Macaca mulatta: one gene and its partners. The protein of the gene in region 1 interacts with the protein of each later gene in a pairwise test. Links are inferred from orthologs where the notes say so. Each region holds a gene or a part of one and is shown in the gene's direction. Other genes may lie near its edges.

Region 1 (3,036 bases):
TTTTGTGCACTAATACTTCAGCCCTGGATGTTGATGAGATTGCTTCTTCCACTGATCGTCCTCACTTGGTCATTGGCACCCACTTCTTTTCGCCAGCTCATGTCATGAAGTTGTTAGAGGTTATTCCCAGCCGATACTCTTCCCCCACTACCATTGCCACTGTTATGAACTTATCAAAAAAGATTAAAAAGATTGGAGTCGTTGTAGGCAACTGTTTTGGATTTGTGGGGAATCGAATGTTGAATCCTTATTACAATCAGACATATTTCTTGTTAGAAGAAGGCAGCAAACCAGAGGAGGTAGATCAGGTGCTGGAAGAGTTTGGTTTTAAAATGGGACCTTTTAGAGTGTCCGATCTTGCTGGGTTGGATGTGGGCTGGAAATCTAGAAAGGGGCAAGGTCTTACTGGACCTACATTGCCTCCAGGAACTCCTGCCCGAAAAAGGGGCAATAGGAGATACTGCCCAATTCCTGATATGCTCTGTGAATTAGGACGATTTGGCCAGAAGACAGGTAAGGGTTGGTATCAATATGACAAGCCATTGGGTAGGATTCACAAACCCGATCCCTGGCTTTCCAAATTCCTATCACAGTATAGAGAAACCTATCACATTGAACCACGTACCATTAGCCAGGATGAGATCCTTGAGCGCTGCTTATATTCACTTATCAATGAAGCATTCCATATCTTGGGAGAAGGGATAGCTACTAGCCCAGAGCACATTGATGTTGTCTATTTACATGGATATGGATGGCCAAGGCACAAGGGCGGACCCATGTTCTATGCTTCCACAGTTGGGTTGCCCACAGTTCTAGAGAAGTTGCAGAAATATTACAGGCAGAACCCTGATATTCCCCAACTGGAGCCCAGTGACTATCTAAAAAAACTGGCTTCTCAGGGAAACCCTCCCCTGAAAGAATGGCAAAGCTTGGCAGGCTCCCCTAGCAGTAACTTGTGATTCAGCCTTCCAGATTATGCCTCACATGCTAGCATCAGGTAATGCTCACTGAATTTCAGTGAAATTAAATCAAAAATCCAAAGTAAGATTGTTCTGAAATACAAAGCAAAAGAAATAATCAGTAGAGTCTTCTGTGTGACGACTCTAATGGTCAAATCTTTAGGAATGTGCTTCCTATGTCTCTGAATCTGTCCTTATCAGATAAATTCAATGCATGAACTTGTGTGAATGTAATATCATAATCGCTGATGAAAGAGGCTCAGACATAAGTTGAGATTCTCAAATGTTTTGATTATTGGATACATGTGTCATCAATTAATAAATGATAAATGCAGCTAAGTCATACATTGATTTTGACTCCTTTCAATGTCACACACATAGTATTGATCAGAAATCTTATGAATCATACATACACTCAACAAACATTGAAGTCGTAGGAAAAACATGGTTGGAAATTGGTAAGGGAACTGAGTACTTCAAACCAGCACAGGGAACTCAGATTAGTATGGCAAGCCTTTCCTCTTCTGGTCTTTCCTCTTCTGTTTATGAAGAAATAATAGAAAGGAGTAAGTCGTTAACTTAGTGTAAGAAGGGTCTTAGAGAACATCTAACCTTCTAGAATTTCCCAATTCTATGATAGAGTAATGACGCCAGTTTCCCTGTCATGACAGGCCTCTGTGATGTTACATATGGAAATGGTTGAATCTTGAAAAATCTAAAATTGTTGCAAAACATATTTTGTATAATTTTGTTATAAGAGTTCTTCTCTTTTTACTTTTTGCGTTGTGTAGTCAAAAATTAAGGGGCTGGTCAATACAAAAACTAGTACACAAATATTTATAGCAGAATTATTCATAATGGCCAAAAGTTGGATACAACCCAAATGTCTATTAACTAATGAATAGATAAATCTGGTATATCCATACAATGGACTATTATTCAGTCATAAAAAGAAATAAAGGACCAGGCACAGTGGCTCACACCTGTAATCCCAGCACTTTGGGAGGCTGAGGCAGGAGGATTGCTTGAGGTCAGAAATTTGAGACCAGCCTGGGCAACATAGCAAAACCCTGTCTCTATAAAAAATACTTCCTGTACATTAGTGGTTGCCTAAAGCTAGAATTAGGGATGATGGATGGGGAGTACAGGATTCATCTAATAGGTACAGGATTTCTCTATGGTTCATGAAAATGGTCTAAACTTATTGTGGTAATGGTCACATAACAATATATTAAAAACTATTGAGTTATATATTTTAAATGGGTGAATTATATGGTATGTGAATTGTATCTCAATAAAGTTGTTAGTAAATAAATGGGGCTGAAGATGTTATCCTTCATTGTGGTGGAAATGAACTTTCACAATATTTTCACCTGTGAACCCAAACAAAATGAAAGTTCTGATGGAAAAATCTTGAATGAATAGAGTATAAGTTTTCCGTTGTTAAAGAGCAAACAAAAAACCAACAAAAAATCCAAGTGTGCCTTGAATTGTACAGAGCACAATTATTACGTTTGAAATATATACTACTTAATTTTATATAATTTGGTTTGTGAAATTAAAGACATCAATGAAAATGATTCCTGAAAGTAGTAATTTTGTCTCCAAAGTGACTTGTTTTCAAATTAATGTTAAAAAAAAAACCCACTAACTTTTTCTTCAATCCTGGAATTAATTTTGAGTTCTTGCAACTTATTTTCACCCTACACTAGCCTCTAGATTGAGGTTTTGAAATCAGAGCGTCTATGAATAGATTTTATCAGTCAATAACCCCTGAAATGTTATGATAAAGTTTGTGTACATGTATCTGAGTACATTTCTTGGAAGAGGTACCATATCATATTCTAAAAAGTATCATGACCCGGCCGGACACAGTGGCTCACATCTGTAATCCCAACATTTTGGGAGTCCGAGGCGGGCAGATCATGAGGTCAGGAGATCGAGACCATCCTGGCTAATACGGTGAAACCCCATCTCTACTAAAAATACACAAAATTAGCCGGGTGTGGTGGCACGTGCCTGTAGTCCCAGCTACTTGGGAGGCTGAGGCAGGATAATTGCTTGAACTCAGGAGGCA
Region 2 (3,500 bases), on another chromosome or scaffold:
TAATGGGAAGTGAGTTTAGTTTTCCTTGCAGAACATTGAAGATTAGTAAAAAGAGGGACTTTACTTTGGAAACAAGCAGAGGGTGTCTCTACATGCTCTGAGTCAGCAGGAGGGTGTGTGTGTGTGTGTGTGTGTCCGTGTGTGTGTGTGTGTGTATGCATGCGGGAGGGTGGGTATATTTTTTCCAGGAAGAAATACTATAAATCCCAGCACTTTGAGAGGCCAAGGCAGGCAGATCACTTGAGTCCATGAGTTCAAGACCAGCCTGGGCAACATGGCAAAACCATGTCTCTACAAAAAAATACAAAAATTAGCCAGGTGTGGTGGCTCATGCCTATAGTCCCAGCCACTTGGGAGGCTGAGTTGGGAGGTCTGCTTGAGCCTAGGAGGTCAGTGCTGCAGTGAGCTGTGATCGTGCCACTGCAGTCCAGTCTGTGTGAAAGAGTGAGACCCTGTCTCAAAAAAAAAAAAAAAAAAAAAAAAAAAAGACTAGTTTTGAGTATATTTGAAATACTTTAGGGTATCTTAGATGCCAGTTTTCTATGTTGAGTATATTTCATTTTATGGTTTGGCAGTTTAAAATTCCAGGATTGTATTTAGAGTTATAATCCATAAACCTAGTAATAGGCATGTATAATGCAAGACACCATAATTCCTGTAAACTTAGTTTTTGAATTTTTTTTCTCTCTTTTTTCTATTTAGTTTCCATCTTTTATCCACAGCCAAAAGAGAAATCCTCAGACGCATCTGAAGGATCCGGATATGGTCTGGGACTTCTGGAGCCTACGTCCTGAGTCTCTGCATCAGGTAGGAACCCTTTTTTTCCATTGTCTTCTATCACCTGGGATGCAGTGTTTAATTATGCCTCCTCATAAAGTGTCTCTCCAGTTTTGGCTGTTTTATTGGAATAAGCTTCCTCAGATTTCTTGATCGTGAAGAGTTTTGTAATAACTGGCTTTAATATCCCCCATTCATCAACCTTAAATGGTGATGATAGATAGATAGCAACATTGTCAGTTGATATTTAGCAATAGTAAGGATGAAAGTCTTTAGTACAAGATAAAGCTCTGTATTAGGGAAGTGAGGGGAAAGTAGCACCAAATTTGCTATGAAAATAAATTTTGAATAACAAATTAGGCCAGTTTTCAGGTTGTTTCAGCTTTTTCCTTCATAGAATTTTGAGTCATAGTATTAGTGATTTGCATATCATTTTGGTTTAAAATTTTTCTGTTTGTTATTTTCTACAGGTGAAATAATGGTAACCCTTCCCATGGGAAATAGGCTCGTATGTTTTATGTCATTAAGGGACTTTCTGGAACCTAAGGAGTATCTTAAAAATCTAGGATGTTTTGATTTAAATGAAAACATTTTAGGCTTTATATTTCTGTTCCTTAGGTTTCTTTCTTGTTCAGTGATCGGGGGATTCCAGATGGCCATCGCCACATGAATGGATATGGATCACATACTTTCAAGTTGGTTAACGCAGAAGGAAAGGCGGTTTATTGCAAATTCCATTATAAGGTACGTGTTATACCTTTGGGGCAGAATGTACAAGGCTCCTACCACACACCTCCTTATTTTTCCTGAAGAATTGAGCAAAGATTAAGGCTTCTCCCACTTTTCCCCTCACCTCCCTCCCCAAACATGGGAAGTATTGATCTCACTGATCAGTACTGTGAGTATTTTGTTGGCTTCCACCTGAGGACATAACTTCACACTGTCCTATTAGAACTGTGTGTGGTTCCTCTTTAGTCTCTCTTTTACATGTGGCCAGAGGTGAGGCACATGGCTGCGATCAACAGTTTAAGCTTCCTTTTTCTGGATCCTGTGTCCCTTGTCATAAATATTTAGAAAATGTGCTTCTTTTGTGCTGCTTCTGGTTTAATGTTTCTGGGCTGGCAGCTTCATGTTGAGTACAGCGTTCTCCCTGAAGTGGGAATATCTAAGCTTTTGGTTTGGGCTCAAAGAAGATAGTATAGACCTCTAGGCTAGGCAGAAGGAAATAATTTCCACCTAGTTTAGCCTAGTTTTTTTTTTTTTTTTTTTAAAGATAGGCTCTCGCTCTGTTACTGAGGCTGGAGTGCAGTGGTATGATCGTATCTCACAGTAACTCCTGGGTTGCAGTGAACTCCTGGGCTCAAGGAATCCCCCTGTCTCAGAGTAGCTGAGGCTATAGGCACACACCACCATGCCTGGCTGATTTTAAAATTTTTTTTTTTTTTTTTTTTTTTTGAGACGGAGTCTCGCTCTGTCGCCCGGGCTGGAGTGCAGTGGCCGGATCTCAGCTCACTGCAAGCTCCGCCTCCCGGGTTTACGCCATTCTTCTGCCTCAGCCTCCCAAGTAACTGGGACTACAGGCGCCCGCCATCTCGCCCGGCTAGTTTTTTGTATTTTTTAGTAGAGACGGGGTTTCACCGTGTTCGCCAGGATGGTCTCGATCTCCTGACCTCGTGATCCACCCGTCTCGGCCTCCCAAAGTGCTGGGATTACAGGCTTGAGCCACTGCGCCCGGCCTTAAAATTTCTTTTATAGAGATGGGGTCTTGCTGTGTTGCCCAGGCTGGTCTCAAACTCCTGGCCTCAAGTGCATCCCCAACTTTGGCCTTCCATAGTGTTGGCTTTCCATAGTGTGAGCCACTGTGCCTGGCCCTAGCCTGGCTTTTCTAGAGTTCTTGTTGGAGTTTGGAGTTCAGCTCTAGAAAATAATAAAGTGCCTAGCCCTGAGTCATTATCCTGAGCATAGATACCTTTTAGGGCCCAGAAGAGGGCTAACACCGCTTGGAGCATATCCAAGTCTCACTATCACTTCCAACATCCAATGGCATCTTTCCAGTATCATTTCTTCTAACTTTTTAAGTCATCCATCTATTCACTTAGCATTTATTGAGGTTGTATTATGAACAACGCATATAAGTAAAATCAATTACAAATGTCAGAAAACAAAATTGTACTGTTTTTAAAAATTTGCGTTCATATAGCCAGATCAAATGCGTTACATCTGGGGAGGGTTTTGAGAATGTTTTAATCAACTGAAATATTTTAAAGGGTTCTCTTTTGGTTTAAGCATGGCATTCGTTACAATGAGCAATATTACCAGTGAACCCTGGTGTGTTAGTGATATTCCCAGAGAACTCCCGAGGGCTAGGTAAAAACAAGCCTGAGAACCTCTGTTTCCAAATACTGCTGCTAAGATAAGCAGAAAGAAGTGGGCTCATGACCAGTACTGGACAGTCTCTCTCTTAATGACATCCAAAAGCCCTGTTTTCTTCTATCCTGTTTTCTTCTGTCCTGTTTCCTTCTTTATCTGAACAACTTAATGTAGGCATATCAAACAGGAGAACTATCACCTCTTTTTATCATCATAACTTGAATCTATAATATTTGACAAGGAAACATTTTATGGAACATAAAATTGGCTTGTAATTGCCAAAAGGATCAATGTAGTGTTACTTAGAGTAAGACTAAATGGTTGTCTCTGGGACAGCCAGTCTAGTTGGTAGC
Region 3 (4,126 bases), on another chromosome or scaffold:
AAATTTATACTTATATAAAAGTTGTAAATATGTGAAATTTTATCCCTGTGCCCTTTCCCCACCTCAGGCCCTAGCCCTGGACCCTCCCCAACCTTCCTTCTCTCTTCTTTGGCTGTTGTAATTATCTGGGGTTTGTACTGTACATATCCGGGGTGTGTGTGTGTGGGCTGGGGGCAACCCTTCTGTACAGAGCTTCCTGGCCCCCTCCCCCCCCGCCCCTCTGCTTCCCTCCCCACCCACTACCTTAAGGGTAGGGAGATGCTCTTCCTACCTGTTTTATTTTGTTTTCTCGTTCTCCCTCCCCACCCCACTCCCAGCCTTATCTATCCCCCCCTCGCTGTCCCCTTTTCTCCACTCCCAGCCCCATTTCCTTTTTTTCTGGAGTGTGTGGTGAAACAGAAAAAAACATGTTTAATAAACGGAGATTGTTCTTTTATCGCTGTGCCGACTTTCTTAGGCAGGGCTCTCCAGACAGACCTGTACGGTGGTAAGATCTGCTTTCTGAAAGGAAGCTGACAGCCTGAGAGGAAAACCGTACATCCCCACCTGATGCCACACTCTCCTCATAAAATGTCACTCTCCCCTCCCAATGAGAGTTTTTATATTTTAGAGCAGGAGTTTTGCACTGGCCAAACTTCTCCAGTCTCTCCCTCCCCTCACCACTGTGTCACTTAGTCTGAGGCCAGGAACAGCGGCGTTATCTGATAAAAGAATTCATGTATATATCCACATTTATCTCTTTTAAAAATCACCTAGAAGTAAGGTTTCTTTAATTGCTGGTTAAAATGCTCCTGTGCAGAACAGAGGAAAGAACCTGCCTAGTTCCTTAGCAAATCTGAGATCCAGTCCCAGGTCCACTACTATTAACTGAGTGACGCTTCCAGCCCGTTTCCCCCGCCTGGAAACTGAGGACGGCAACCCCCATCCTCGCAGGGCCGGTGGGAGGACACAAGGTGATGTGGGCAAGTGCCAGGCCCACATGGTAAGTGCCCAACTAATCTTGCCCCTCTCAGGACCTACCGGGGGCGGGTGCTACACTTAATCACCGGGAAACGCAGCTTTCCGGGGCGGCTGACGGCCCGCCCCCTCCGACCGGTCTGTTCTCTCCTGGGACCTGGCTCTCGGTCCTCTGTAGCGGCGAGGACTTCGGCAGCTACCCCAGACGCCCGATACGCTGGCACCCTGAGCCAGCGCCCTCCTACTAGCACCGCCCTCCTCGTCTGCGGTAGCCAGTCAACACGAGGCTTGTAGGCTGCCCTTCCTCGATTGGCTACGCCTCTAGCTCCGCCCGCCGCACTTTGCGACGGCGTCCGGCGGGGAGGCGGCGGCTTCCGGCCTGGGACGGAGCTGTAGCGGCACTGTAGCTGCGAGGGCAGCGCCGCGTGTGTAACGGCGGGGGCGTGTCGGCGGGAAGGACAGCCGGGCCGGGACTCCCGGTGTCCGGGTGACCGCGGTTTCCCGGGAGCAGACCTCTGTGGGCACTGTGAGGCGGAACGGAGCGGCGGGGCAGGAGCTGTTCTGGGCAGGTGAAGACAGGCTCGTGGCTGAAGGACCTCCTTCGCATCTTCCACGGGGGCTGGAAGTTACAACCCCGGTTGGTGTTTGGTGGTGGTGGTGGTTTGTTTGTTTTTCTTTCTTGGTGTGCTGGACTGATTTGCAGAAACCGCCACTGACTTAAAAGTTTCCAGTTATTGCTCGTGGGGGGAGGGAGTTGTTTGAAGAGATGTGGCTCCCTTTATCCAGGGCTTCTGTGACCTCCATCTTTTTCCTTTGCAGCCTTCATCCCGCGTAGAGTCTACCCCCAGGCCCCTCTCGTCTTCCCAATTCTTCTCACCTTCGAGGAGGCCATGGAAACCCCAACGCCTTTGCCGCCCGTACCCGCCTCCCCGACCTGCAACCCAGCCCCACGGACAATCCAGATCGAGTTTCCGCAGCATAGCTCATCGCTACTGGAATCTCTGAACCGCCACAGGCTAGAGGGAAAGTTCTGTGATGTGTCCCTCCTGGTGCAGGGCCGGGAACTTAGGGCTCATAAAGCAGTGTTGGCTGCTGCCTCTCCTTACTTCCATGACAAGCTGCTTCTGGGGGATGCACCTCGTCTCACTCTGCCGAGTGTCATTGAAGCCGATGCCTTCGAAGGGCTGCTCCAGCTCATTTATTCAGGGCGTCTCCGCCTACCACTGGATGCTCTTCCTGCTCATCTCCTTGTGGCCAGTGGCCTTCAAATGTGGCAAGTAGTAGATCAGTGCTCAGAGATTCTTAGAGAATTAGAAACTTCAGGTGGTGGAATTTCAGCCCGTGGAGCAAACTCCTACCATGCCCTTCTTTCCACTACATCCTCTACAGGAGGCTGGTGCATTCGCTCTTCGCCTTTCCAGACTCCAGTACAGTCCTCTGCTTCCACTGAAAGCCCTGCTTCCACTGAGAGCCCTGTGGGAGGGGAGGGAAGTGAACTGGGAGAAGTGCTGCAAATTCAGGTAGAAGAAGAAGAGGAGGAGGAGGAAGAAGATGATGATGAGGACCAGGGGTCAGCCACACTCTCTCAGACTCCTCAGCCCCAGAGAGTATCAGGGGTTTTTCCCCGTCCTCATGGACCCCACCCACTGCCCGTGACTGCTACTCCCCGAAAGCTTCCAGAGGGTGAGAGTGCACCAGTTGAGCTTCCTGCCCCTCCTACTGCGCTGCCCCCTAAAATCTTCTACATTAAGCAGGAACCCTTCGAGCCTAAGGAGGAGATATCAGGAAGTGGAACTCAGCCTGGAGGAGCAAAGGAGGAAACCAAAGTGTTTTCTGGAGGGGACACTGAAGGGAATGGGGAGCTAGGGTTCTTGTTGCCTTCAGGGGCAGGGCCAACATCTGGGGGAGGGGGTCCATCCTGGAAACCAGTGGATCTTCATGGGAATGAAATCCTGTCAGGGGGAGGAGGACCTGGGGGAGCAGGCCAGGCTGTTCATGGGCCTGTGAAGCTAGGGGGAACACCCCCTGCAGATGGAAAACGCTTTGGTTGCCTGTGTGGGAAGCGGTTTGCAGTGAAGCCAAAGCGTGACCGGCACATCATGCTGACCTTCAGCCTTCGGCCTTTTGGCTGTGGCGTCTGCAACAAGCGCTTCAAGCTGAAGCACCATCTGACAGAGCACATGAAGACCCATGCTGGAGCCCTGCATGCCTGTCCCCACTGTGGCCGTCGTTTCCGAGTCCATGCCTGTTTTCTCCGCCACCGGGACCTGTGCAAGGGCCAGGGCTGGGCCACTGCCCACTGGACTTACAAGTGACTGCTGAGGCTATATACTAGCTTCTAGAATGAAATAACCACTGCTGCTGATGGGTACTTTTCCCTCACTACCATGGCACACCAGTCATGGATCTTGTAATCATGCCAAGAGAATAGATACATTGATACATTATGGACCTCTTGTTTTAAGATATGGGCCTCTCAGCCTGGCAGATGTGGAAACTCAAATTTCTCATCCCACTCCAGGTTTTGGCTAGCCAACCCTGCAGGAAAGCAGTTTATAGGCCATTCATACTTAAGTTGATCACTTGCCCATGGTGGACATTTTTGTAGTGGTGATGTCCATTAAGGAAACCAGATTTTCAATTATTTAGTGAGAGAAGAATTAGAGCAAAAGACAGTGGTAAATGTTTTATTCCGTCTCCATGAGGAATTAAAGGAGTTGGTCTCCACCTACGGATACATTTGATTTAGAGCTTGAGTAATTCAGAGGCTAAGCTCTAAACTTTTTTCTCTCTCATTGCTGGAATGATTTAAGCAGAATTCCTTTTGTGTACTTTTAAAATTGTATCTTTCCAGGAGCCCCTCAGATTGTACCTTGCTTTCTCACCAGTAGACACCTTTCCAACACTTTTTTAATGTTGTAGTTGAGCACTTTAACAAGTTGAGCATTCCATGTTTCATTCTTAGAACCTTCTTTAATAGAGGGTATTCCCTCAACAGCCTGTGCCTCTGGTCTACCTTTGACCACCACTGGTAACTCATATATTGGTCACAATGACTGGAATGTGACTAGTGATCTCAGGAGATGGCACTGTCCTAAAGTGCTCTCAGGGTGGCACCACTGCTCTCTGAACAAGTTGCCTTGGTCAGAGGGACTCAGGTTTGGGACAG
Region 4 (3,500 bases), on another chromosome or scaffold:
CTGCAGCCTTGACTTGGCAGGCTCAGGTCATCCTCCCACCTTGGCCTCCCAAGCAGCTGAGACTACAGGGATGTGCCACCATCTTTGCTACTTTTTGTATTTTTTTTTTGTAAAGACCATGTTTCACCATGTTGGCCAGGTGGGTCTCGAAGCGATCCACCTGCCTCAGCCTCTCAAAGTGCTGGGATTACAGGCATCAGCCACTGTACCTGGCCTCATTGTTTCTTATTGCTGAATAATATTCAGTTGTATGTCTATACCATATTTATACAATTACCTGCTTATAGACAGTTGGGTTATGCATTATTTTTAATAATGAACTTGGTTCCGCTTACATTTTTCTCGCCTTCAACACTTTCCAAAATGCTCCAGCACTCTTCTCTCTTTCATCCTTCTGATCCAAGAGAAAAAAGTTGGAATCTGAGTACTCTGCTTTTGAAAAACTGCACACTCTTTGTTATCAAGCAGCTTTTTCTATGGCCTCCATTTACTTTATTTATTTAACTAGAAACTCTCCACTGTATTCCAGTCACTGGTGGACAGAGGACCAGCCTTAGTGCTCACTTCATATGGCATCTTGACATATGATCTTGGGACATCCATGAGCTAGATGATTGTGCTTCATGTTTAGCTCTTCACGTACTTCTTTTTCTTTTTTTTGTGGGGGAGACAGAGGCTTGCTCAGTCACACAGGCTGGAGTGCAGTGGTGCAACCTTGGCTCACTGCAGCCTCTGTCTCCCGGGTTCAAGCAATTCTCATGCGTCAGCCTCTGGAGTAGCTACAGGCATGTGCCACCACACCTGACTGATTTTTGTATTTTAGTAAAGATAGGGTTTCTCCATTTTGGTCTGGCTGGTCAAACTCCAGTCCTTAAGTGCTCTGCCAGTCTCAGCCTTACAAAGTGCTGGGATTACAGGCTTGAACCACTGCGCCCGACCCTCTCCTACTTTTTATTCCTAACTTTCAGAGGTCATAACTAATAATGGTGCAACTGTACAACTCAGCCGCTGGGAACCCATAGTTACAGTTAGGACCAGGGCACAAAATTCACTTACATGTAGAGATTGTCAGCCCCCTTGCTTAAACAGTTGCATGTATCTTACACATATATCAGAATGCTGGATTCACAGCAGGACAGATCAATTCCTTGTCACCCAGCTGTTTGCTGTATTCTTAATGTTAGATGCTAAAATCTGTCTTAGTTAATGAAGAATTAAATAAATGAGGTAGGAAGTTATATTTTCTATGGTAGTTTATGTAGATAATGATATAATAAACAGCACCAGTGGACTCCTATTCTAAGGGTGCACCATTCAAATAAATAAATAATAAAAGGACAACATAATAGGGACTTACTAGGTCTCAGTCTCTTTGCCAAGCTCTTATGCATGAATTCGTAATAACCTTCTGAAGTAGGTGCTACTATTTTCTTCATTTTTAGTTAAAGCAACAGAAGCATCAATAGGTTGACTCAAGTTGACAGCTAGAAAATGTCAGACTCTAGATTGAAGTGTGGGTCTATCTTACTTCACAACTGGAGTGCTATTTAACGCACCTTAGGATTGTAGATTGTTTTGGTCAGAGATGATTTCTTATGTTCTAGTTTAGGATTCGACAATTTTAGGCACCAAGTGAATAAATGAGTCATAGAAGAAAAGGGGGCACTGTTAAGAACCTGTTGAAGTCTCCTTTTATATGATACTCTTTTTAGCCCTGTTTTACTGTGATGGTTTGTAACTTGTTGGGATAACATTTATTAAATAAGTTGTTCATATTAATCTGGTGTATTTACAGGTGGTTGCTGTATATGGAACTTTATCTGATTTGCTTTCTGTGGCCAGCAGTAAACTCGGCATAAAAGCCACCAGTGTATATAATGGGAAAGGTGGACTGATTGATGATATTGCTTTGATCAGGTAACCTTCACCTTTTTATAAGCTGTCAACAGTGTGCCTCAACTTCTTGGTGCTATGCTGTTTCCCTTAAGCAGTAGTTTAATCACTGTTAAGAATACAGGATTTTGGCAAGTGATTACCTAGAATTTGCTCTTTGGAATTTAAATCATTTGGGCTTAAGCTGTATTGATCAGCTAGAAAACCCTTAGTATACATTTCAGTATACTGATAGTCTTTCTGCATAGTTCATATATGGCTATGAGGAATTTCTTCTTTGTGGTACTACAGCAGGATCTAATAAGACATGCAGTTTTTAACGTTAGAAATCTAATTCATCTCTTCACTTTTATATGCACCTGCTTGTTAATCATTTCCTAAGAAATGCTTTGCATTTTATAAATATTACAAAGGCCAGATTTTGTGAAAACTTTATAAATATGATATAATTCTAAGTAGAGATATCACCAGTGATCCACCATAATTATAGACTTATTTGTTTGTTCTTTAAATATCCCAGGCAGATTCATCTCTTTAAAACAAGTGTGTAGTTCACCTTACTTCATCTTCACGAGGTCAGAGTATTTTGGAGCAGGAAGATGCTTAACAAAGAAGATGGTAAAGGGAACACAAATTAAGTGTTGACTATGCCAGTTATGTTATAATTGCTTTGCCTGAGTTATACCATTTGATTGGCAGAGCATGAGTTTTTTTATCAATGATGTGAAGATAATGATGCTTTAAGTTACAATAATACACAGAGTCTCTGTATAAATCCAGATCAAAATGACCTTTCAATATAGTATACTGCTTTTGCAGTGAATCAGTTCTAGACCCTTCATTTTACAGACGAGGAAACGAATTACCTGTGAAGCTGAGGACTCACTCAGGTCATACAGCTAATTGGGTTTTGTTAATGAAAAAAAAAACCAGATTTTTATACTAATCTGAAAACAGTAAATTGGCATGGTGAACAAGTAGGAAATACTATATACTACATTTTAAATCCAAATAAATTAGGATAATTTCGAGTTTTTCAATATGTATCTCCCAGCTTCTTTCAGTTTCTAAGGAAAACTGAGTCACATTGTTGGATGATGGTCCTCATCAACCTAACTTTCTCCTTAACAAGCACAAACTCTGCTTCTTAGAAAAATTTAATGTGTCCTGTGATGTCCTATAGGAAATAAAAACTTCTACAATGGAAGGTTATAACTGAAGCCTTCTGAGCTATAAAATACCGACTTATTCGTTTTAGGTTCACAATACGTTATCTGGTGTAATGGGTTGAGGAAGAGGATGTACACTGATTGTCTAGAACTGTGGGTTATGTGCAACCATTTACATTTGGGTGTATGGTGGATCTGTAGTGGGTAAACACTGACAGCAGAGTTACTTCCAGCTATATTTTTCCTAGATTTAATATGACAGTTTATTTCATCTCCAAAGCACACAACAGCTAATGATTTAGGGGTAAAAAAAAAGGTAAAGAAAAAAAGAGGAGTTAGCTGTGGCTTTAATCTATCCTTTGAGCATAATTATTCATTCTCAGTTGATAAGAAAGCTGAACTCACATAATTTGTGTAGTGGGATTTTCCCCCCCATTT
Region 5 (3,987 bases), on another chromosome or scaffold:
CAAGAGGGGCCTGGAGTGCCAGGTGGAGGTGTAGAGACACAGCCAGTGCCCATGGAGAATGGTGGATGTCCTTAGGGGTCAGCAAGTGCCCTGTACTAAGGAGGGGGCTTTGGAGGTTGGGCAGGCCCTCTGTGGGGCTCCATTTTTGTGGGCGGGGGGGGGGCCCTGGAGCATTATAGGGGGTGGGAAGTGATTGGGGCTGTCACCCTAGTCTTCCTTGATTATCTGACGCCCATCCATGCCTCCTCAGGTACCCCCTGCCCCCCACAGCTTCTCTCCTGTGCCTTGTTTCCCAGCCGATGCGTTCTCCTCTATAAATACTCACTCTGGTATTTGGGGTTGGCAGCTGTTGCTGCCAGGAAGATGGTTGGGTTGACATGCAGCTCCTGACAAAACACAAACCCCTGGTGTGTGTGGGCGTGGGGGGTGTGAGTAGGGGGATGAATCAGGGAGGGGGTGGGGGACCCTGGGGGCAGGAGCCAGACAAAGTCTGTGCGGGGGTGGGAGTGGACATAGCAATTGGAAACTGAAAGCTCATCAGACCCTTTCTGGAAATCACCCTACTGTTTATAAACTTGAGGCCTCGCCATCCACAGTAGGGGGGAGGAAGAGGGCCTGTACCAGTCCAGAGGGAAACTGAGGCTCAGGGCCAGCTCGCCTGCAGATATACATGGCAGGCTTTGGCCAGGATCCCTCTGCCTGCCAGGCATCTCCCGGCCCTCCCTGCCTGCCTAGAGACCCCACCCTCCAGCCTGGCTGGTCTTTGCCTGAGACCTCCCAAACCTCTTCAACTTCAAGACAATGTTTAGGAACAAGGTGGTTTGGGGCCTTTCTGGAAGCAGGCCTTGACCCTTTAAGAAATGACCCAAAGTCTCTCCTTGACCAAAAAGGAGGCCCTCAAACTAAAGGGAAGCCTCTCTTCTGCTGTCTCCCCTGACCCCCTCCCCGGCCAGGACGAGGAGATAACCAGGGCTGAAAGAGGCCCGCCTGGGGACTGCAGGCATGCTTGCTGCCCTGGCGAAGGATTGGCAGGCCTGCCTGTCACAGGACCCCCACTGGCTGACTCAGGGGCGCAGGCCTCTTGCGGGGTAGCTGGCCTCCCCGCCCCCACGGCCAGGGGCCGCCCTTTCCTGGCAGGACAGCGGGATCCTGCAGCTGTCAGGGGAGGGGCAGCGGGGGCTGATGTCAGGAGGGATACAAATAGTGCAGACGGCTGGGGGCCCTGTCTTCCCTCGCCGCATCCACTCTCCGGCCGGCCGCCTGCCCGCCGCCTCCTCCGTGTGCCCGCCAGCCTCGCCCGCGCCACCACCATGAGCCAGGCCTACTCGTCCAGCCAGCGCGTGTCCTCCTACCGCCGCACCTTCGGCGGGGCTCCGAGCTTCCCGCTCGGCTCCCCGCTGAGCTCGCCCGTGTTCCCGCGGGCGGGCTTCGGCTCTAAGGGCTCCTCCAGCTCGGTGACGTCCCGCGTGTACCAGGTGTCGCGCACGTCGGGCGGGGCCGGGGGCCTGGGGTCGCTGCGGGCCAGCCGGCTGGGGACCACTCGCGCGCCCTCCTCCTATGGCGCGGGCGAGCTGCTGGACTTCTCTCTGGCCGACGCGGTGAACCAGGAGTTTCTGACCACGCGCACCAACGAGAAGGTGGAGCTGCAGGAACTCAACGACCGCTTCGCCAACTACATCGAGAAGGTGCGCTTCCTGGAGCAGCAGAACGCGGCGCTCGCAGCCGAGGTGAACCGGCTCAAGGGCCGCGAGCCAACGCGAGTGGCCGAGCTCTACGAGGAGGAGCTGCGCGAGCTGCGGCGCCAGGTGGAGGTGCTCACTAACCAGCGCGCCCGCGTCGACGTCGAGCGCGACAACCTGCTCGACGACCTGCAGCGGCTCAAGGCCAAGTGAGGGCCCGGCGCCCCAGACTCCTCTTTCCGCGGGCGGGGCACAGGGGGCTAGGCCTGGGGGCTGGGGTCCCGCTGTCAGCACATGCCTTCTCCCGGGGTCCGGGACCCTCTCCTGCCCCACGCGGGGAAAGGGTCCTCCACCCGTGTGTTTCAAGGGGCCGTGACCTCCAGGTCTCTCCCCCTGCGATCCCATCTTGCATAGGAGTTTTCTTGGGGACATAGATCAGGGGGTGGATATGGGAGAATTTAGGGGACCCGGTGCCATTTGGGCAGCCCCCTTAAAAAGCATTTTAAGATGCTGGGGCGATGTTTATGGGGTCAGGTAGTTGATGGGCAGAGGAAGGGCTGCAGGAAGCCCAGAGGGCAGTGTAGCCAGAGGGAGAAGGGAGGCTGATAGGAGACAGGGAAAGCAGGGCAAGGGCCCAGAGTCCAAGCAACAGCTCTCAGCTCAGCTGTGATGAGGCCCTGGGGAGGCAGGGTGGAGTGGGGAGCTTGACCCTGGGGACTTGCTGAGACTGTGTGTTTTTACAAGGTGGATAGACAGGCTGGAGAAAAAGGGAGTAGGTGGGGGCCACAGCTCTCAGAGAGCTTGGGAGGACCTGACTGTAGGCCTCACCAGGCTCCTGAAACGAAAAGGGCAGCAAGTATAGCGTATCTGTTGGTCCCACTTCTGACAGGCCAAGTGAGCAGAGTCACCCTCCTGCCACCAAAGTCATAAATATTAATTGAGCAGTTATATTGGCCAGGCTGGAGCTGGGAACCAGCAACACAGAGGCGGATAAAATAGACACAGTTTCTAACCCCAGGGAGGTCACACAATCTGGTGGGGACATAGACTTCAAGGGTGTGGCTCCTGGGCAGAGATTGGGCCACTTCCTGTGCCCTCCCTGGATGGGTGGGGCCTCTCCACTCCCTTTCTCTCCTGTGTCTACCCAGCAGCCAGGCCCTCCCGCTCTGTCCCATACCTACTCCCTGGTCAGCACCCGGCCAGTCGTTTCCACTGCCAGCTTTATCGCCCACAACTGTCTGTCTGTCTGTCTGTCCCACCCAGGCTGCAGGAGGAGATTCAGTTGAAAGAAGAAGCAGAGAACAATTTGGCTGCCTTCCGAGCGGTGAGTGCCCTTCTTTTCCCCTCGCATGGCCTCTGGCTTTGCTCTACCCCACCTGGGTGGTGGTGACTATGTCCTTCTTGCTTGGCCTCTCCCAGGACGTGGATGCAGCTACTCTAGCTCGCATTGACCTGGAGCGCAGAATTGAATCTCTCAACGAGGAGATCGCGTTCCTTAAGAAAGTGCACGAAGAGGTATGCCTTGGCCCCTCTTCCTGGGGTCACTGGGCCATGGGGAAAGCAGCCGGAAAGTGGGGCTGGGGTGAGGCTCTGGCTGGGAATAGGGGTGTGAGGGTGCTGTGTGGGCCCTGAGAGGGGACTGAAGCCCAGCCATGCCCTACAGGAGATCCGTGAGTTGCAGGCTCAGCTTCAGGAACAGCAGGTCCAGGTGGAGATGGACATGTCTAAGCCAGACCTCACTGCCGCCCTCAGGGACATCCGGGCTCAGTATGAGACTATCGCGGCTAAGAACATTTCTGAAGCTGAGGAGTGGTACAAGTCGAAGGTGGGTGGCCTCACCCAGGGACTGGCATCTCTGTCACCCTGAGCCCCAGCTTGGATGTGCTGCCTGTGGCATCATCCATGGGAGGAGAGCCCAGAGGCTCCATGCTCCCTTGCTCATCCCTACCTGTGCCCTGCATCCTCCTCATTTTTGGGCTCCTTTCTCCGCCCTTAGGTGTCAGACCTGACCCAGGCAGCCAACAAGAACAACGATGCCCTGCGCCAGGCCAAGCAGGAGATGATGGAATACCGACACCAGATCCAGTCCTACACCTGCGAGATTGATGCCCTCAAGGGCACTGTGAGTCCCTACCCACCTGGCCAGGCCCTGCCCCTTCCTGTCTGCAGTTCACACCCTCACTTTGTGACCTTGGGCCCATCATAGACCCTCTCTGGGCCTTCATCTACTTAAATCTACAATAGGGATAAAACCAGACAAGTGGATTCCAGTTGGATGCTAAAGAATCAGGGGTTCCTGGGGCATCTG
Region 6 (3,500 bases), on another chromosome or scaffold:
AACAGAGTCAGGAAACTTCTTGACAGCCTGGTCACCAGGGGTTTGGGAAAAGGTTCTATTGGAGTGGAGACTGATGGATGGAAAAAAGAGAGAGGGAAATTGTACCTGATACCAAAGAGATGTTTTCAGCCGTCAACCAGCTGCAAAACAAAATGGGCTTCCTTTTCCTACATATTCTTCCAAGCATTATAAATCCTCGGTCTGCTCCCCAACCCACATCCTACAGGATGCAGCCAGAGCAACAGCCCCACTCCACTCTGGAACCAGTCATCCTAGGGATGCAGCTGGTCAAAAATCCCTGTGGACGCTTTCTCAAGATCTGCACCAGACCCTGAGCTGCCCAGGTGTTGCTGCTCCAGAATTCTCTTAGGAATATGTCTCCTACATCAGTTAGTTACAGCCACACTAATACAAGATCACAAACAATCCTGATGATCATTTCTTAGCTTCCCTGTTGGAGGTTGGTTGGTGTTGGCTGATCTCTGCTTGGTTCACTCCTGCACTGGCTGGGTGTTGCCTGTGTGGTAAAGCTGTTCCCTGTCTCATCCTGTTGGAATGAACAGAGTATCCTAGGAATATTTTCTCCAGAGCAGTGGCAGACACAAAGGGTCAACAGAAATCCTCAAGGCTTTGTCATGCCTACTCTTGCAACTAGCACATTGTCATTTCAGCCTCATCCTATTGACTAAAGTAAGTCACTTGACCAAATTCAAAGCTGTGTGACAGGGAAATATATTGCACCTCTTTAGAAGGAGCACCTGCAAAGTCATTTGGGCCTGGATATACAGGGCAGGGAGAATTTTGGAGACAAAAATGCAATCTGCCACATCTATATTAGTGAAGTCAATTTTTCATATGTGGCTATCAGAACAAAGCACTTCACTTACCAACTCTATTCGAATAAATTGAAATTATTCAACTTAAAATTATGCAAGCATTGCTCCCCTTGTGCCAAAGAACTGCACCATGTCTGATTGGCTTTGCAGGTCTGTGTAACTCGGCTGATAGCTGGATGATAGTACCCAACATCAAGCAGAACCACTACACGGTACACGGTCTGCAGAGCGGCACCAAGTACATCTTCATGGTCAAGGCCATCAACCAGGCGGGCAGCCGCAGCAGTGAGCCTGGGAAGTTGAAGACAAACAGTAAGTGCTGTGAACTCAACAGAGCTGTCATGTCTTATCTGCTCTTCTTTCAGCTGACTCTGTCCCCCTTTCTTTTCCTTTCCTCTCTCTTGGGTATCATTGACAGCCCCCCAAAACAAGTAAAAAGCCAGTGTGGAATAATGGAATTTGCATCAGATACCTCTAGGTTCCAAAACTGATTTCTATTCCTTCACAGCCGTGAGACCATTACTCTCTCTGAACTTGAGTCTTCTCATTTTTTTTTTATTATACTTTAAGTTCTAGGGTACATGTGCACAACGTGCAGGTTTGTTACATATGTATACATGTGCCATGTTAGTGTGCTGCACCCATTAACTGGTAATTTACATTAGGTATATCGCCTAACGCTATCCCTCCCCCCTACCCCCTACCCACAATAGGACCCGGTGTGTGATGATCCCCTTCCTGTGTCCAAGTGATCTCATTGTTCAGTTCCCACCTATGAGTGAGAACATGCGGTATTTGGTTTTCTGTTCTTGTGATAGTTTGCTGAGAATGATGGTTTCCAGCTTCATCCATGTCCCTATAAAGGACACGAACTCATCCTTTTTTATGGCTGCATCATATTCCATGGTGTATATGTGCCACATTTTCTTAATCCAGTCTGTCACTGATGGGCATTTGGGTTGATTCCAAGTCTTTGCTATTGTGAATAGTGCCGCAATAAACATACGTGTGAATGTGTCTTTATAGCAGCATGACTTATAATGCTTTGGGTATATCCCCAGTAATGGGATGGCTGGGTCAAATGGTATTTCTAGTTCTAGATCCTTGAGGAATCGCCACACTGTTTTCCACAATGGTTGAACTAGTTTACAGTCTCACCAACAGTGTAAAACTGTTCCTATTTCTCCACATCCTCTCCAGCACCTGTTGTTTCCTGATTTTTTAATGATTGCCATTCTAACTGGTGTGAGATGGTATCTCATTGTGGTTTTGATTTACATTTCTCTGATGGCCAGTGATGATGAGCATTTTTTCATGTGTCTGTTGGCTGTATGAATGTCTTCTTTTGAGAAGTGTCTGTTCATATCCTTTGCCTACTTTTTGATGGGGTTGTTTGGTTTTTTTCTTGTAAATTTGATTGAGTTCTTTATAGGTTCTGGATATTAGCCCTTTGTCAGATGAGTAGATTGCAAAAATGTTCTCCCATTCTGTAGGTTGCCTGTTCACTCTGATGGTAGTTTCTTTTGCTGTGCAGAAGCTCTTTAGTTACATCCCATTTGTCATGGGATCTTGATCTGGTGGATAAGATTTTGATGTACTGCTGGATTCAGTTTACCAGTATTTTATTGAGGATTTTTGCATCAATGTTCATCAGGGATATTGGTCTAAAATTCTCCTTTTTTGTTGTATCTCTGTCAGGCTTTGGTATCAGGATGATGTTGGCCTTGTAAAATGAGTTAGGGAGGATTCCCTCTTTTTCTATTGATTGGAATAGTTTCAGAAGGAATAGTACCAACTCCTCCTTGTACCTCTGGTAGAATTCGGCTGTGAATCCGTCTGGTCCTGGACTTTTTTTGGTTGGTAGGCTATTAATTATTGCCTCAATTTCAGAGCCTGCTATTGGTCTATTCAGGGATTCAACTTCTTCCTGGTTTAGTCTTGGGAGAGTGTAAGTGTCCAGGAAATTATCCATTTCTTCTAGGTTTTCTAGTTTATTTGCATAGAGGTGTTTATAATATTCTCTGATGGTAGTTTGTATTTGTGTGGGGTTGGTGGTGATATCCCCTTTATCATTTTTTATTGCATCTGTTTGATTATTCTCTCTTTTCTTCTTTATTAGTCTGGCTAGTGGTCTATCAATTTTGTTGATCTTTTCAAAAAACCAGCTCCTGGATTCATTGATTTTTCGGAGGTTTTTTGTGTCTCTGTCTCCTTCAGTTCTGCTCTGATCTTAGTTATTTCTTGCCTTCTGCTAGCTTTTGAATGTGTTTGCTCTTGCTTCTCTAGTTCTTTTAATTGTGATGTTAAGGTGTCAATTTTAGACCTTTCCTGCTTTCTCTTGTGGGCATTTAGTGCTATAAATTTCCCTCTACACACTGCTTTAAATGTGTCCCAGAGATTCTGGTATGTTGTATCTTTGTTCTCATTGGTTTCAAAGAACATCTTTATTTCTGCCTTCATTTCGTTATGTACCCAGTAATCATTCAGGAGCAGGTTGTTCAGTTTCCATGTAGTTGAGTGGTTTTGATTGAGTTTCTTAGTCCTGAGTTCTAGTTTGATTGCACTGTGGTCTGAGAGACAGTTTGTTATAATTTCTGTTCTTTTACATTTGCTGAGGAGTGCTTTACTTCCAACTATGTGGTCAATGTTGGAATAAGTGCGATG
Region 7 (3,031 bases), on another chromosome or scaffold:
GACCTGGCTGAGCTGATGGAACTGCTCCAGAGCCTGGCGACACCAGCACTGTTGCTTGTCACTGCTGCACCCTGCGCACAGCGGGCTCTGCAGGAGCCGGTAGTACCGGCGACGGGCATACCGGCTGTCCAGCTCCCCCTCCAGTTCCGGGTCTGTGCCCCCTTCCCCCTTCCTCTTACTCTGCATATAGACTCTCAAGAAGCACCCATACAGACGCTGGATCATCTCTTGGAAGGTTCTGGGGGTACTAAAGAACAAGACTCCGCGCAACATAGTGTGGACTTTTTCTCGCAGCCCCTGAGCACCAGTGCCCATCAGCAAGCCCAGGCGAGTCCATTTCTCCAGCAGCTCTAGGCTACGCAGGTAGGGATCCAGGCGGCTCTCCAGCAGGCCAAAAGCGTCAAGGAGCAGCAGAAGGCACTGGGGCTCATCCGTAGAGTTCTCGCATTGGGAGATGGCATTCCAGAACTCAGGGGAGATGTTGGCCTGCAGATCGTTCTGCAGCACCTCTACGAACCACTCCTCCAGGACCGAGTGCAGGCCGTGGCCCCTCAGAACCTCCACCGCCGCCCGGAGCTCCTCTTCCTTTGGCGGGACTGCACCGCTGGTCCGGGAAGACACCTGGAGCGCAGAAAACCGTGAAGCGAGGGGAACACAACATAGAGGTGGGGAGAGGCGGGGAAGGGAAGAAGCTGAGGGGTAGGCTGCAAAAACTCCGCTGCCCCCTGTCCGTGGTGTCCGGACGTTGGGCCGAAACTAGGGAAGGGCTGCCAGCGGAGCTGAACGAAATGAAGTGGAATGGCGGTGGAAAGCGGCAGGACAGGCCAGAGGCGGATGACGGACAGAGCTGTATGAACCCGAAGGTGGCCGCCCCAAAGTGCATAGGGTCCCGGAAACTCCGCGCGGGGCCGCCGCTCTCTTCCCAGGCCTCACCAGCCCCAGCGCAGCTGGCGGCACCAGGCCGGTGCTCACGGTATTCCAGGCCACTAACAACTCCTGTCCGGGCCGGGAGTCGCTGTCCCCCTCCGCCACCACAACTGCCGCCGCCATCTGCAGCCACCGGCTCCGAGATCCCCTCGGCACGGCGCAAAGCGATGACGCAAGTCTGCACGCGCAGCCATGACGCGCACAAGGCGCTCAGCGATGACGCGTAGTTCGGCGCGCCGTCAGGGAGTCGTGCGCAGGCGCGGACAGCGCTGGTTCCGCGTCGGTTGGGGTGGCGGGGCCCCGGGCGGCGTAGACCATGACCCAGCAGGGCGCGGCGCTGCAGAACTACAACAACGAGCTGGTCAAGTGTGAGCGGCGCAGCCGGGACGGGGAGGTCGGGAGGGCCGCAGGGCCGGGTTCCCGGCTCGCAGCGGGGTGCCCCTGGACCCGCCTAGTTGCGGGCATCGCGCAGCTGAGCAGAGCCCTCCGTGCCGGGGGCTGGGTGTCCGTGGCCCCGAGCCCTCGTTGGCTCGCAGGCCCCGCGCCGGGTGCTCGGGGGTGGTGCCTGACTCTGGCTTCCTCGGGTGGAAGGAGGCCCGCCCTCCGCCGCCGCGCTCCTGCCCTGGGCCCACAGCCCCGCCCCTCCCGGCCCCCCAGGCATAGAGGAGCTGTGCCAGAAGCGGGAAGAGCTGTGCCGGCAGATCCAGGAGGAGGAGGACGAGAAGCAGCGGCTGCAGAATGAGGTGAGGCAGCTGACGGAGAAGCTGGCCCGCGTCAACGAGAACCTGGCACGCAAGATTGCCTCTCGCAACGAGTTCGACCGGACCATCGCGGAGACGGAGGCCGCCTACCTCAAGGTGGAGCTCGGGAGGCCAGGCGGAGCATCAGGGGATAGCCGCGGCAGGGGTGTAGCCGCGGCAGGGCGTCAGGACCGTCTGGGGCTCCCAGCTGTGGGCAGTCTGTGCCTCGCTGGCATGTCGGGCAGGAGCAGCGTGGCCAGGCCCATTGAGGAACCCAGGCTGCTGCGGGAGTGACCGTGGGGCTGTCTGGGGGACCTGGGGCATCCTGGGTCCTGGTCTTCATCCGGTTCTCGCTAGCCATGTGGTTCTTTTTGCTTAGAGTGTGAAGAGCCACGTCTTGGGCCAGTGCTAACCCAGCCTGGCTTTGAGGGTGGGGAGGAAGTGTTCCGGGTCAGATTCAGGAGGGAAGAGGGCCCTGTTACCCCGTCTGCCAGTCCCCTTGGGCTTCCGCCTTCCCCCGCACAGGATCCCTTGGCTACAGCACCCACAGCCAGGTCCCAGAACCTGAGTGTGAGGACAGCTGGGGCTTAGGAACTTCCCAGCAGGTGAACAGTAACAACTTTCTCACTTCTCTGGCCCCAGATTCTGGAGAGCTCCCAGACTTTGCTCAGCGTCCTCAAGAGGGAAGCTGGGAACCTGACCAAGGCTACAGCCTCAGACCAGAAAAGTAGCGGTGGCAGGGACAGCTGACCAGACCACGGGCAGGGCCTGCCTCTGTGCGCCCCTCAGCTCAGCCCCGACAAGTCTGTCCTCAGAGCGTCTTTGTTCTTCACAGCAGCAGCTGCCTTCCCTCACTGTCCCCGGTGCCGAGAGGGGCGGCTGCCAGCCTCTACTGGCATCATTGACAAGCCAGGGCACAGCCCACCCAGGGGCTTCGTGCTCACACGGGCTGTGGGGATGGTGGGTTCCAGGTCAGCTCTGCAAAGGGCCTGTCTCTGTGGCACCCACACTCCTGCCCTGCTGGGGAGGCCCTGGTTGTCTGAGCACCATGGGGGCCCCCTCAGCTTGTCCCTCCTCAGCCAGCAGAGGCCCAGGGCAGGGGACAGGGGTTCTCCTTCACCCCAGAACCCAAACCTCAGGGCTCACCCCTGTGGCCTGTGATTATCAATAAAGATTATCTTTGTAAAGGTCCGTGCCAGCCTGCTGCTTGCCCGTGTCAACAGTGTGGGGCTGCCAGACACCCGCAGAGCCAGAGCCTGAGGCTCCCCCTTGGGAAAGGAGGGAGGAGGCGTCTGGAGTGGTCTCCCTATGACTGCCCAACTAGCCTCAGGGACACCGCTGAGGGTGCCCACCCTGCCCAGGCC

The links.
Region 2: the proteins of EHHADH (region 1) and CAT interact in a two-hybrid assay, tested with the Homo sapiens proteins (2 studies listed by BioGRID, with this or other methods). The link is inferred for Macaca mulatta from reciprocal best matches to the Homo sapiens genes EHHADH and CAT.
Region 3: the proteins of EHHADH (region 1) and ZBTB9 interact in binary tests that used the Homo sapiens proteins (3 or more experiments, as listed by UniProt). The two-hybrid records come from large-scale screens. The link is inferred for Macaca mulatta from reciprocal best matches to the Homo sapiens genes EHHADH and ZBTB9.
Region 4: the proteins of EHHADH (region 1) and KCTD9 interact in binary tests that used the Homo sapiens proteins (3 or more experiments, as listed by UniProt). The two-hybrid records come from large-scale screens. The link is inferred for Macaca mulatta from reciprocal best matches to the Homo sapiens genes EHHADH and KCTD9.
Region 5: the proteins of EHHADH (region 1) and DES interact in binary tests that used the Homo sapiens proteins (3 or more experiments, as listed by UniProt). The two-hybrid records come from large-scale screens. The link is inferred for Macaca mulatta from reciprocal best matches to the Homo sapiens genes EHHADH and DES.
Region 6: the proteins of EHHADH (region 1) and MID1 interact in binary tests that used the Homo sapiens proteins (3 or more experiments, as listed by UniProt). The two-hybrid records come from large-scale screens. The link is inferred for Macaca mulatta from reciprocal best matches to the Homo sapiens genes EHHADH and MID1.
Region 7: the proteins of EHHADH (region 1) and SSNA1 interact in binary tests that used the Homo sapiens proteins (3 or more experiments, as listed by UniProt). The two-hybrid records come from large-scale screens. The link is inferred for Macaca mulatta from reciprocal best matches to the Homo sapiens genes EHHADH and SSNA1.

What each region holds. Positions count from the first base shown.
Region 1 is NC_133407.1:97,345,624-97,348,659, reverse strand, and holds the end of EHHADH (peroxisomal bifunctional enzyme), read left to right. Parts: coding exon 1-959; 3' UTR 960-2,536; downstream 2,537-3,036. UniProt on the Homo sapiens protein: Peroxisomal trifunctional enzyme possessing 2-enoyl-CoA hydratase, 3-hydroxyacyl-CoA dehydrogenase, and delta 3, delta 2-enoyl-CoA isomerase activities. Catalyzes two of the four reactions of the long chain fatty acids peroxisomal beta-oxidation pathway.
Region 2 is NC_133419.1:30,827,241-30,830,740, reverse strand, and holds part of CAT (catalase), read left to right. Parts: intron 1-702; coding exon 703-807; intron 808-1,395; coding exon 1,396-1,521; intron 1,522-3,500. UniProt on the Homo sapiens protein: Catalyzes the degradation of hydrogen peroxide (H(2)O(2)) generated by peroxisomal oxidases to water and oxygen, thereby protecting cells from the toxic effects of hydrogen peroxide.
Region 3 is NC_133409.1:148,823,512-148,827,637, reverse strand, and holds the start of ZBTB9 (zinc finger and BTB domain-containing protein 9), read left to right. Parts: upstream 1-1,326; 5' UTR 1,327-1,526; exon of another isoform or gene 1,527-1,594; intron 1,595-1,776; 5' UTR 1,777-1,847; coding exon 1,848-3,272; 3' UTR 3,273-4,126. UniProt on the Homo sapiens protein: May be involved in transcriptional regulation.
Region 4 is NC_133413.1:27,191,491-27,194,990, reverse strand, and holds part of KCTD9 (BTB/POZ domain-containing protein KCTD9), read left to right. Parts: intron 1-1,795; coding exon 1,796-1,917; intron 1,918-3,500. UniProt on the Homo sapiens protein: Substrate-specific adapter of a BCR (BTB-CUL3-RBX1) E3 ubiquitin-protein ligase complex, which mediates the ubiquitination of target proteins, leading to their degradation by the proteasome.
Region 5 is NC_133417.1:124,658,791-124,662,777, forward strand, and holds the start of DES (desmin), read left to right. Parts: upstream 1-1,187; 5' UTR 1,188-1,310; coding exon 1,311-1,888; intron 1,889-2,942; coding exon 2,943-3,003; intron 3,004-3,098; coding exon 3,099-3,194; intron 3,195-3,342; coding exon 3,343-3,504; intron 3,505-3,675; coding exon 3,676-3,801; intron 3,802-3,987. UniProt on the Homo sapiens protein: Muscle-specific type III intermediate filament essential for proper muscular structure and function.
Region 6 is NC_133426.1:10,016,958-10,020,457, reverse strand, and holds part of MID1 (E3 ubiquitin-protein ligase Midline-1), read left to right. Parts: intron 1-986; coding exon 987-1,148; intron 1,149-3,500. UniProt on the Homo sapiens protein: Has E3 ubiquitin ligase activity towards IGBP1, promoting its monoubiquitination, which results in deprotection of the catalytic subunit of protein phosphatase PP2A, and its subsequent degradation by polyubiquitination.
Region 7 is NC_133420.1:5,265,395-5,268,425, reverse strand, and holds SSNA1 (microtubule nucleation factor SSNA1), read left to right. Parts: upstream 1-1,173; 5' UTR 1,174-1,243; coding exon 1,244-1,295; intron 1,296-1,584; coding exon 1,585-1,784; intron 1,785-2,309; coding exon 2,310-2,417; 3' UTR 2,418-2,531; downstream 2,532-3,031. Other genes in the region: ANAPC2 (anaphase-promoting complex subunit 2), read right to left, coding at 1-621, 934-1,050. UniProt on the Homo sapiens protein: Microtubule-binding protein which stabilizes dynamic microtubules by slowing growth and shrinkage at both plus and minus ends and serves as a sensor of microtubule damage, protecting microtubules from the microtubule-severing enzyme SPAST.